Linked DNA regions of Saccharomyces cerevisiae S288C. Changing the gene in region 1 together with any one later gene gives a genetic interaction. Each region holds a gene or a part of one and is shown in the gene's direction. Other genes may lie near its edges.

Region 1 (7,699 bases):
CACATCTGATGAGGACGCAGCCAATAACGATCCAATTGGCAATGATGAAGACGAGGATGTCTGTGGTATCTGTCGTGCCAGTTATAACGGTACCTGTCCAAGCTGTAAATTTCCAGGCGATCAATGCCCTTTAGTGATTGGGCTATGTCATCATAACTTCCATGATCATTGTATATACCGTTGGCTTGATACACCAACCTCAAAAGGACTGTGTCCGATGTGTAGGCAAACTTTCCAGCTACAGAAGGGTCTAGCAATTAATGACGCTCATGTCCAAAAGTTCGTTGAAATAGTTTCAAGAAGAAGAGAAGAAATGATAGAGGAGGGCGTCGCAGAAGAGTTTGTGGACTTTGATGAACCAATAAGGCAAAACACCGATAACCCAATCGGTAGACAGCAAGTTGATACCATCCTGGACGAAGACTTTTTGTTACGATAAAAAAGAAACTTAGAAATCACAATTAGCTATATTTCCATACGGTTCTTTTCTTGTGAACGCTGTTAACATTCTGTATACTTAAATGAAAATTTAATATTGATTTTTTCTTGTTGCAGCTAAAGATAAAAAAATTTTCTTTTCCAATCGTTGAATAGATGTACTGTAGCCGGAACTGAAGTTAAGGTTGTTAGATTGAAAAAGAACAACAGTGTACTAATCATGCTAACGATGACAGCGGTATCGTTGCATACTTAGAATACATAAAAATATGCTTCCAATCGGATTTGAACCGATGATCTCCACATTACTAGTGTGGCGCCTTACCAACTTGGCCATAGAAGCTTCTGATTTGTGTTCATTTGATTGTAAGTTAGAGTATTTCAAGCTCTAACTCAATTATGTGAACTTTCATAAAATTGTGTTATTTTTGAGAAATATGTGAGTTGTTAGATAATTGTTGGGATTCCATTGTTGCTAAAGGCTATAATATTGGTATACAGAATATACTAGAAGTTCTCCTCGAGGATATAGGAATCCACAAAAGGGAATCGATAGTTCTACATAATGTTATTATTTTATCTTCTTTCCTTTTATGCGTTGTCATTCATTATCCTATTACATTATCAATCCTTGCATTTCAGCTTCCATTAGATCGGATGACTGTTTCTCAATCTTTATGTCATCTTCTTACACCGCATGTGATAATATAATATTAAATAGATGATATTAGAGTTCAATTCCAACAATTTTCATTCTAGATAGCGGGAATATTACTGGGTATTCAGTATATCACAACGTCTCTTACAAGATAGAGGATACTACAAGAGGGAAGCAAGAATCATACATGGTAATGTTGTTTTTTCTTCCCCACATTTTTTGTTATCATTCGTTATTTATTATATTTTCAATGCTTGCATTTGCAGCTTCCATCTCATCTGATGACTGTTTCTCAATTCTTATAGTGTGTTATCATGTACGGTATTAGATGATGACATAAGGTTATGAGAAATTGTCGTCGAAGTTAAAGGAAGCTGTATTCTGTATACATAATACTATAGAATTTACAAACAGTGGAATTGCAACAATTATCAAATTATTCACCTAATAATCACCTTTAACATTCAGGGAGGTTTATTTTTGCTTCCGAAATTTTTACAGTCTACAGGGAAGAAATAAATATTTAGTTGAGAAAGTTTTGTTTATTTGTAAGTTATTAATTTGAAAAATAAATACCATAACTAGCGCAAAGCTTATAAAAGAGATGTTTGTTGAAAAATGCAGAAACCCCATATATAAAACCATGAAATGTCACAATGGACATGATGTACATTCTTGGAGATAACATCATATTCGAAATATTCAATATGCCCAATTGGTACCTGTTCTCCATACCCCATTATATGATACAAATGATCTGCCCCTATTCTAACACTGTGCTAGCAACATAGCAATTATACTAAATTTTTTCAGTCACTATGCAATACATGTAATCTCTCAACTACCAAGCAGTCATTATTCTATTAATATATATTTGTGCTTGGAAGTATTGTTTCACTTCTCAGAGGCCTTTCTTGACATGTTATAGTTTTTTAGGTACCTTCTAATCCTGTAAATTTATACAAAAATTGGTATATAATGGCTACCTCCGGAAATTTTAACAACTTTTGGGTCACACTATTACTGTGTATACTTCCTTTAGAGATCTCAAGCATTACTGAAAGATAACCTGAGGAAAAACATAGCGCGTCTACGGATGTGTAATACTCGCTGGATTTCCTGGTAAAAACTACTGTACATTTATCAGCTGCCTCTGCCAATGCTATTGAGAACCGTAGGTTCATTAGAATTACTTCATTCAACGGAAAACGTCACTATACCTGCCGCTTGTGTGTCGCGTCAGTAACGCCTTGACAGAAAAAGAAAGAAAAGAATATGACCGACCGATCGATGTATTATTATTATTGAACTGATTATAAAAAATTGGAACGTCGTAGAATCAGAAATCATAAGACAATGGCCAACTATGCCAAATCACACATCAATATTTAACCGAGATAGCAAAAGAAAATAAATTTCGATTATTTTTAAAATGTAACTGACAGTTTTTGGCACTTGTGGACTTCCTCTTTCCGGCAGATAGCAAAACCAACGGTAGAATGGCCCCGAAATTTAAATTTTATTTCATTGTGTGCTTGAGCGTGGCCTTTTTTTTTTTTTTTTTACATATCACAAACAATTCACACATTACCACACATACCATAAGCTAACGTATGCGGTGCAAAGTTCACTATTAGGCGCTTAAAGGCTTGGAACGAAATGACTTCTGGCTTTTGTTTCCTATACACATTCTTAGCAAAACTTTTGGTGTTGTAACAAGCAATGAGATAGAGAAAGAAATATATCCATCAATGGAAGAAATAGGCAGACGTCGGTAATTTTATTCTATTGAAAATATGCAAAAGTGACAGTATAAATTGAAGTAACTAATTTTACATCTAGTAAGCTGCTGTTGAAGAATTGAATAGTATCGCAGTATTTATTTTGTATACCCTTAGAATACACATACTTGGTGTTAGAAGCCATCTAATACACTATATAACTCGGGGATTAAATCATCTTGGAAGAGCGAATCTAGTTCAGGATCGCCTGTCGTAAAGTTCGAGGATAAGGACATCGAATTTAGTAGTAGTCCTAATGACTCGATGTTATTGTCTAAAATTTGTTCAATTTCTTTTCCTGATTTATCATCGTCTTCTTGAATAGGTAAACAGTAATATTTACCAAAGTTCAGGAGGGTTAGGATGGTGTGAAAAATTATAGGAAGGAACATCAAGAAAGTGCTTGAAATATTTTTCTTGGATTATGGAAGTATCAAGAACGATATTATTTCAATAATGTGATGGTTTATATCTTTGCATACAATAGATTTTGTGATACTTTTTTTATGTAATGGTCCCGTAACCCCGTCGCTCTTTCCCTTTTAATTTTGCCCGATCCACTTTCTATGCCGGTAGTTTAGCCGCCAAGTGCTATTTTCAAACGAATCAATAGTAGCGGCTGCAACTTTGAAAAAGAAAGAAACAAAATTATGCGCTAGTTTTCCATTTCTTGTATTCTTTTTTCTTTTGCGGTGGTAATTACGGGAATTTAGTGATGTTGGAACGAGAGTAATTAATAGTGACATGAGTTGCTATGGTAACAATCTAATGCTTACACCGTATATTAATGTACACCTCGTATACGTTTAAGTGTGATTGCACCTATTGCAGAAGGAATGTTAAACGAGAAGCTCAGACAATACTGAAGCTGTGCTAAAGATCTATTAATTGAACATGATATGGTAGGTACATATATGAGGAATATGAGTCGTCACATCAATGTATAGTAACTACCGGAATCACTATTATATTGGTCATGATTAATATGACCAATCGGCGTGTGTTTTATATACCTCTCTTATTTAGTATAAGAAGATCAATACTTATTTCTTCATTAATACTATTTTTTACCTCTAACTATCAACAAGTGATAATTGTTGGAATTCCATTGTTAATAAAGGCAATAATATTATGTATACAGAATACAGCTTCCTCTAACTTCTATGACAGTTTCTCATACCTTATGTCATCATCTAACATTGTACATTATAATATACTCGTAGTAAGACTACTAGTTGAGAGAGAATAGTTGATTTTTATTCTAACAAATAATATTCCAGCAGGTTTACATATTCCTAGGTTTGGGATATATCTTAAGTCAATAATTCATCATTAGTAAGGCAACTTGGCCGAGTGGTTAAGGCGAAAGATTAGAAATCTTTTGGGCTTTGCCCGCGCAGGTTCGAGTCCTGCAGTTGTCGTCATTTTTATATTCCCAATATTTTTATCACTCCGGGTAACGAGTTATTAACGGTTTTTCTCCGGTGGCAAATGTCTCTTTTCTTTTACCTAAAAGAAGGTTAATGTGAATATTAGTGAATATGATGCGTATCAGTGTCAAGCTTACAGTCAATTCAAGTTAAAGAAGAGACAGCGTTTTTAATAGAAAATAAAATGGGACAAGGTGTATCATCTGGACAAGACAAAAAGAAGAAGAAGGGATCTAATCAGAAACCCAAATATGAACCTCCCGTTCAATCTAAATTTGGTCGTAAGAAAAGAAAGGGAGGTCCAGCTACTGCTGAAAAATTACCCAACATATATCCAAGTACTCGTTGTAAGTTAAAGCTTCTAAGGATGGAACGAATTAAAGACCATTTGTTATTAGAAGAAGAATTTGTCTCTAACTCTGAAATTTTAAAACCCTTTGAAAAGAAGCAGGAGGAGGAAAAGAAACAATTGGAAGAAATACGTGGAAATCCATTGAGCATTGGGACCCTTGAAGAAATTATAGACGATGATCATGCGATAGTGACAAGTCCAACTATGCCTGATTATTATGTATCTATCTTATCCTTTGTCGATAAAGAGTTACTAGAGCCTGGATGTTCTGTGTTATTGCATCATAAAACCATGTCCATCGTAGGTGTTTTACAGGATGACGCCGATCCAATGGTTTCGGTCATGAAAATGGATAAGTCGCCAACAGAATCATACAGTGATATTGGTGGCTTAGAATCTCAAATTCAAGAAATAAAAGAGTCTGTAGAGTTACCGTTAACACACCCCGAACTGTATGAAGAGATGGGTATCAAACCTCCCAAGGGTGTGATTCTTTATGGTGCACCCGGTACAGGTAAGACATTGCTAGCAAAGGCTGTTGCAAATCAAACATCTGCCACATTCTTAAGGATTGTTGGCTCAGAGTTAATTCAAAAATATTTGGGGGATGGTCCTAGGTTGTGTAGGCAAATTTTCAAAGTAGCGGGTGAGAATGCACCAAGTATTGTATTTATTGATGAAATAGACGCCATTGGTACTAAAAGATATGACTCCAATAGTGGTGGTGAGAGAGAAATTCAGAGAACCATGCTGGAATTGCTGAACCAGCTGGACGGGTTCGACGACAGAGGGGATGTGAAGGTGATTATGGCCACTAACAAAATCGAGACTCTTGACCCAGCATTAATCAGGCCTGGGAGAATTGATCGTAAAATCTTATTTGAAAACCCTGATCTAAGTACTAAGAAAAAAATTTTAGGGATTCACACTTCCAAGATGAATTTAAGTGAGGACGTTAATCTTGAAACTTTAGTAACAACAAAGGATGATTTGTCAGGCGCCGATATCCAGGCAATGTGTACAGAAGCAGGTTTGTTAGCCCTTAGAGAGAGAAGAATGCAAGTTACAGCGGAGGATTTTAAACAAGCCAAGGAGAGAGTCATGAAAAATAAAGTTGAGGAAAATTTAGAAGGTTTATACTTGTGATGTGCCCATTTACATTTTTCTATAATAGATTTACGTATATAAGTAATGCTTCAACAAAGCTTAATATGTGTACATTTTGTATCACGTGCAATATTTGTTTCAAAAACTTAATATAGGTAGGGCGTCGGGGCCTTCGCGAATTCTAACTGCAAAGGAAAACTGGTGAACACATCTGAGAGGGTTTGTTGTCCTAATTTTATAGGAAACTAAAACTCAAAAGACAAAGTATACCTTTGCAAATTGAAAGCTTAGTTAAACATTATTATTCGTGTGTTTGAGGTCACTTTTTTTCGTCTTAAACAGCTCTCAAAGTTGTCTCAAAATTTTTATCCGGATTCCTTTACATTAACAGACCCCAAACACAACAAGTTTTGATAGTTTAAGTAAGTGAACGCTTATTTTTGTTGTCGTTGAAAAGAAAATAAATAGGCAGTATTATCAATTAGGAGGTGAGTTAAATTCCATTCTATACCGAGTATACGAGATTTTGCACATTCTTACTTCATATATCATTTAGGCACTGCATTTATCTTTTAAAAATCATTATAATGAGTAATCATTCTGAAATCTTAGAAAGGCCAGAAACACCATATGACATAACTTATAGAGTAGGTGTGGCGGAAAATAAAAACTCGAAATTTCGGAGGACAATGGAAGATGTTCATACGTATGTTAAAAACTTTGCTTCAAGATTAGATTGGGGATATTTCGCGGTGTTTGATGGACATGCTGGGATTCAGGCCTCCAAATGGTGTGGTAAACATCTTCATACAATTATAGAGCAAAACATTTTGGCAGATGAAACACGAGATGTTAGAGATGTATTGAACGATTCATTCCTAGCCATTGACGAAGAAATTAATACAAAACTTGTAGGAAATAGTGGATGTACTGCTGCTGTTTGCGTATTACGTTGGGAGCTTCCGGATTCAGTTTCTGATGATTCAATGGATTTAGCCCAACACCAAAGAAAGTTATATACAGCAAATGTTGGTGATTCTCGAATAGTATTGTTTAGAAACGGGAACAGCATAAGACTGACTTATGATCATAAGGCATCTGACACTTTGGAGATGCAGAGAGTTGAACAAGCAGGTGGCCTGATAATGAAAAGTCGTGTAAATGGTATGCTGGCAGTGACGAGATCGTTAGGGGATAAATTTTTTGATAGTTTAGTAGTGGGCAGCCCATTTACCACGAGCGTAGAAATAACTTCTGAGGACAAATTTTTAATCCTAGCGTGTGATGGATTATGGGATGTTATTGATGATCAAGATGCATGCGAATTAATCAAGGATATTACTGAACCTAATGAAGCTGCAAAAGTCTTGGTTAGATATGCTTTGGAAAATGGCACAACAGATAATGTAACGGTCATGGTTGTCTTCCTCTAAGAAGGATCCGTTATAAACCGCGCAAAAATTATGCATAGACATAGAGATATGCAATGTGTATGTGTGTATGTATGTATATGTATAAACGTACCAAATCTATTTTGCATGCATCTCTCACATGACGAATGAGGTTTTAGTAGAATAGGATTCCAGATTTTTAAACTGGAGAACATATTCTATCATATATATACCAATTAAATTCACGTAGCGAATGCACAACACGGTTTACAAGTCAATAGTTAACAATAGGAAGACCAAGCTATATATTGAAGCCGCTGAGGTCTAATTCGCCATTATCTCCAGTGGTCGACCAGTCAATATTAAGGTCGTTGAAATCATTTAATGTCAAGTATTCTTCACCGTTGTCGGCTGGAGGAGGGTTATCTCCAGGATTGGAAACAACGGTCGTTGGTAAATCATTATTAACTATATTTTCATTATCATTTCCGGTAGTGATAGAATTGTTCTTGTTATTGCTGTCGTTGTTGGTGGTATTGTTA
Region 2 (5,077 bases), on another chromosome or scaffold:
ATAGGTTTAATCTTCACTGTTCAACTTTTATAGTTGTCAAAAAATTCTTTTATGCCACTACCGATTCTTTTGGAAGCTTCAATCAACTGATCATCATCCCTTGCATAGGCGATGGTGAGTCTTAGAAAATCTGAATTCTGCTTTGAATAATTTGGGCAAACAGCCATTTTATAACCAAGCACTACTTTAACACCATTCTTCAGCAAGAACTTATCTAAAATATCCATCTGTTGCGGCAAATCGTCAGGTCTATCGAAATTCCCCCAATTGATTTTAATAATGATGAACATACCCGCGGAGGGTTCCATAACGGTAAACTGACCAGCTTGGTAAGATTCTGTTTCGTATAAGGCTTTCAAAGTAAGATTTTTCCTATGATTGTATTTAGAAGCAATCTGCATTATCCATCTTATCCAACCCTCAAACATTGCTTCTTTCATAGAAAGAGAGGACGATAAGTTGGACTCAGCCATTGCCTTTATTGTAGAATAAACAATAGCTTGTGAGGTACCACTGGGGGCCCTTGTAGTAATGTCGGCCAAATCCAAGATTTTTTGCAAAAGGAATTTATTAGCAACGATGAAGGATAACCTTAATCCAGGAGCAAAAATTTTAGAAAAAGTCTCCAAACGGATGACACGGGCATCTGTATCCAAAGTCAAGAATGATTTCATTAAAAAATCATTCAAATACCGTTCAGTAGTCAGGTCGCTAGAATGGTAAGGGTTTTCTAATGGCTCTTGCGGATTATAGGAAGGAAAGTACAGATAACCGTAGGGATCATCTTCAACAATGAGGAAATCGTGTCTTTGGGCCAACTGGTAAATTTTCTCTCTTTTCCACTGGGGGACAGACATCCCGGTAGGATTTTGGCCCGTTGCAATGGTATATAGGACCCTTGGCTTGTTTAAGTCTTTGTATGGTCCAGTTGACCAATTATCGAGCAACTGCGTTAGATATTCGACATCAATACCCTGGGACTCTCTGTCGAAGGTCAGGTTCATCTTGATGGGGATGACTTTTGCTCCTGTAGCCTCCACATTGGACATAGCCGGGGTGAAAGTAAACTCTTCAATCATCACAGTGGTCGATTCGTCGCAAATTGTTTCAAAAACCTTAAACATTGAATCGTTGGACCCGCCAGAAAGGATGACATCCCAGTTAGACTCCGTCTCATCGGAAAAGGCTGGGCGATTAATTCTGGACACAAAATCTTTAACAAAATGTAAGAGAGGGGGTAAACCCTTGGTTTCTGCATATTGGAAAGAACGTGCAATGGGTAGCTCACTGGGGGATCCCAAGTCCAAATGCGCCGTGGTAAACGAATTATGCCATTTTGGGTTATCATTAAAAGGAACTTTTGATATTTTCAAATCCATAGATTCGATAGGAAAAAATCTCTCGTTTGGCATTCCACCAGCTAGCTCAATGACGTCATCTGAGATATCAGAAGCATCCCAAAAGCTTTTCAGAGATCTATTTTCTACTCTTCTGGAGAGAAACGGTTGGAAGTTCTTCTTTAAGGAAGTGTAATCAACAGGGGGGGCAGAACCAGCAGTCATTGAGTCGATGAGAGAGTGTAATTGTGGTATGTGTGTATTTTTATGTTTACACTGGGATATTACAAGACCAAATCAAGCTTTTTCCTTTATATATATCAAATATTTATAATGTTTCCTACCCCAATGATGGTTCGGTTATCCGCGGCAAATCTCGGTAAGCATCGGCAATGCTTCCGCGAGTTACCGCTTTTTTTTTTTTATTCCTTTGTTATTATCTACGGCCGTCGGCGGCAATAGTATTTTTGCTCACGTGACCGACAAGGGTCCATTTTATTGCGGTACGGCTCTCTCTTTTTTTTTTTCTCCTCTTCAACTTCTCTCTGATTGCAAACAATATATAACATAACCATGTTCATTACGTACGAAAATATATATACATAAATGCATGGCAGTTATGGCAATTACAACTACAACGCCGTAAAGTTCCAAACGCAGCGGCCTGAGATAGTAAATGATGTACGCACGTGGGCGAAAGTTCATTACTTTGACTGTTGTAACATACCGTATCTCTCTTTTCCCACGTGCTCCGCTCTCTTATCTACCTTGGCGGTACAGCCCTGCGCGGAGTCACTGCAGCCACGTGCCTAGATCTATTACTATGACTTCCCATGGGCACATATACGCCATTAATATACAATATATATAACGTTCATATATGGGTATTTACAGAGAGCCAGGGGCAAATTGGACAGATGTCTCCACGCGGCAAAATGGAAACAGCAGTTTCACAAGGACAACACAAACAACTTAAAGATGGTCACCAGCATAAGGGAAGAAAACTCTCCGAGGAGATCGCTTCTCTATTGAGGCTCAAAGAGTGCAGGAGGCTCAATCCTGCTAGTTACTATACTCCACGTAGAACATCGCAGTCACAATCTCTCAGTGGATCAACTTTTAAAGAGTATAACGAGTACATTAATGAGAAAGATTCAAGTAGAGCGCAGCGTCAAAACGCTGCCGCCGTTTTAAGCAAGCTCGCCCATGACTTTTGGGAGAACGACTGTGTCATTGACGAAGACATATTCGAAGATTCGTCTGACGAAGAACAATCATGATTGCATCTCTTAATCGTTACACATACATACCTTCTACCTCTGTACTGTTACATATGCATTGACTTTACGATCTAATATAAATCCTTTTGATGTTACCCCGCCTGTGGGCTCGTTCTCCTTTCGTTTCTTACGATTTTTTCGCCGGAACAAGAAAAAACAGAACAAAACAAATCAGCGATCGTATACATGGGTCTTTGATTTCTGCTTGCTTCTTACAAACAACAAACGCAAACCGTTCATTGAGTGCTCTGTGACTGGTTTTCATGTGGATGCCATAGTAGAGAAAAGACACATACAAAAATTTCGCGCATTCGCTGGCCCTTTTCCTGCTCTCCTCTTCCCCATGTCCATGCCCATAGCAAGTACCACTCTAGCAGTTAACAACCTCACCAATATAAACGGAAACGCAAATTTTAACGTACAAGCAAACAAACAACTCCACCACCAGGCTGTCGACTCGCCCGCAAGATCTTCGATGACCGCCACGACCGCCGCCAACTCCAACAGCAACTCTTCCAGAGATGACTCTACTATTGTCGGCCTACATTACAAGATCGGCAAAAAAATAGGGGAAGGTTCCTTTGGTGTGCTATTTGAAGGTACTAATATGATCAATGGCGTACCCGTCGCGATCAAATTCGAGCCCAGAAAAACGGAGGCCCCTCAATTAAGAGATGAATATAAAACATATAAAATTCTGAATGGCACTCCCAATATCCCCTACGCGTACTACTTCGGCCAAGAAGGTTTGCACAATATCTTGGTCATTGATCTTTTGGGTCCCTCTTTGGAAGATTTATTTGATTGGTGTGGAAGAAAATTTTCTGTCAAAACGGTTGTGCAAGTTGCTGTCCAAATGATTACTTTGATTGAAGACTTGCACGCACATGACTTGATATACCGTGATATCAAACCAGACAATTTCTTGATTGGAAGGCCCGGCCAACCTGACGCAAACAACATCCATTTGATCGACTTCGGTATGGCCAAACAGTATCGTGATCCGAAAACTAAACAGCACATCCCATATAGAGAGAAAAAATCACTCAGCGGCACTGCCAGATATATGTCCATTAATACTCACCTTGGAAGAGAGCAGTCCAGAAGAGATGATATGGAGGCCTTGGGTCACGTTTTCTTTTATTTCTTGAGAGGCCACTTACCCTGGCAGGGTTTAAAAGCTCCAAACAATAAGCAAAAATACGAAAAGATTGGTGAAAAGAAAAGATCTACTAACGTTTACGATCTAGCTCAAGGCTTACCTGTGCAATTTGGCAGGTATCTAGAAATCGTCAGAAGTCTTTCCTTTGAAGAGTGTCCCGATTATGAAGGCTATAGAAAACTATTACTATCTGTACTGGATGATTTAGGTGAAACCGCGGACGGCCAATATGATTGGATGAAACTGAACGATGGCCGTGGTTGGGATCTTAACATAAACAAGAAGCCAAATCTCCACGGATACGGCCATCCAAATCCACCAAACGAAAAATCGAGAAAACATAGAAACAAACAGCTCCAAATGCAACAGCTCCAAATGCAACAGCTCCAACAACAGCAACAGCAACAGCAATATGCTCAAAAAACTGAGGCAGATATGCGCAATTCTCAATATAAACCAAAGTTAGACCCTACTTCTTATGAAGCTTACCAGCATCAAACCCAGCAGAAATACCTGCAAGAACAACAAAAGAGACAGCAGCAACAAAAACTTCAGGAGCAACAACTTCAAGAGCAACAATTGCAACAGCAGCAACAGCAACAGCAACAGCTACGTGCAACAGGCCAACCTCCATCTCAGCCTCAAGCGCAAACTCAATCTCAGCAGTTTGGCGCTCGTTATCAACCACAACAACAACCTTCTGCTGCTTTAAGAACTCCTGAACAGCACCCAAATGACGATAATTCAAGTCTAGCTGCTTCTCATAAGGGCTTTTTCCAAAAATTAGGTTGTTGCTAAATATAGAAATGACATTTTTTGCAAGACTACCGTCTTTCTTACATTTTTTGTAATGTGAATATATCTGTATACTTTACAACCGAAACGACATTTACCATACTTATAATTTTCGAGTTCTTCGCTGTGGACAAGAGATTAAGTGAGATCAATAACTTCGATAAGAGTATCTCCCGGGAGTACCTCGTCATCATCATCAAGGATTACAACTTCTAAGGAGCTGCTAATATTATCACTTATTATTTGATCTTTGTTATTCTTCGTCTCTCCGCACCAGCGATCATCTCTATATCTCCTTTCGGCTGCAAAAGCCGCCAACTCTCTCGGGGAATTACCTCTATCTATAGATGATATACCCTCTGGATGCAAACTCCCTAACTTCACACCTTTGCCCCTTTTTCTCACTATCCCTGTGTTAGTACTTATTCCTGTCATAGGATATCTATTTGAACGTAAGTTTGCTCTTCCACCGAGACGTTGACCGTTCCCCAAAAATGTGTCGT

The links. A genetic interaction does not mean that the proteins touch.
Region 2: mutations in PTC1 (region 1) and YCK1 together harm fitness more than expected from each alone (negative genetic interaction), as found in Saccharomyces cerevisiae (4 studies listed by BioGRID).

The regions. Positions count from the first base shown.
Region 1 is NC_001136.10:433,556-441,254, forward strand, and holds PTC1 (type 2C protein phosphatase PTC1), read left to right. Parts: upstream 1-6,353; coding exon 6,354-7,199; downstream 7,200-7,699. Other genes in the region: APC11 (anaphase promoting complex subunit 11), read left to right, coding at 1-439; YDL007C-A (uncharacterized protein), read right to left, coding at 3,012-3,269; proteasome regulatory particle base subunit RPT2, read left to right, coding at 4,492-5,805; MED2 (Med2p), read right to left, coding at 7,459-7,699. UniProt on the Saccharomyces cerevisiae protein: Serine and threonine phosphatase. Involved in tRNA splicing and cell separation.
Region 2 is NC_001140.6:372,194-377,270, reverse strand, and holds YCK1 (serine/threonine protein kinase YCK1), read left to right. Parts: upstream 1-2,960; coding exon 2,961-4,577; downstream 4,578-5,077. Other genes in the region: ARO9 (aromatic-amino-acid:2-oxoglutarate transaminase), read right to left, coding at 21-1,562; SPL2 (Spl2p), read left to right, coding at 2,171-2,617; metalloendopeptidase WSS1, read right to left, coding at 4,713-5,077. UniProt on the Saccharomyces cerevisiae protein: Casein kinases are operationally defined by their preferential utilization of acidic proteins such as caseins as substrates.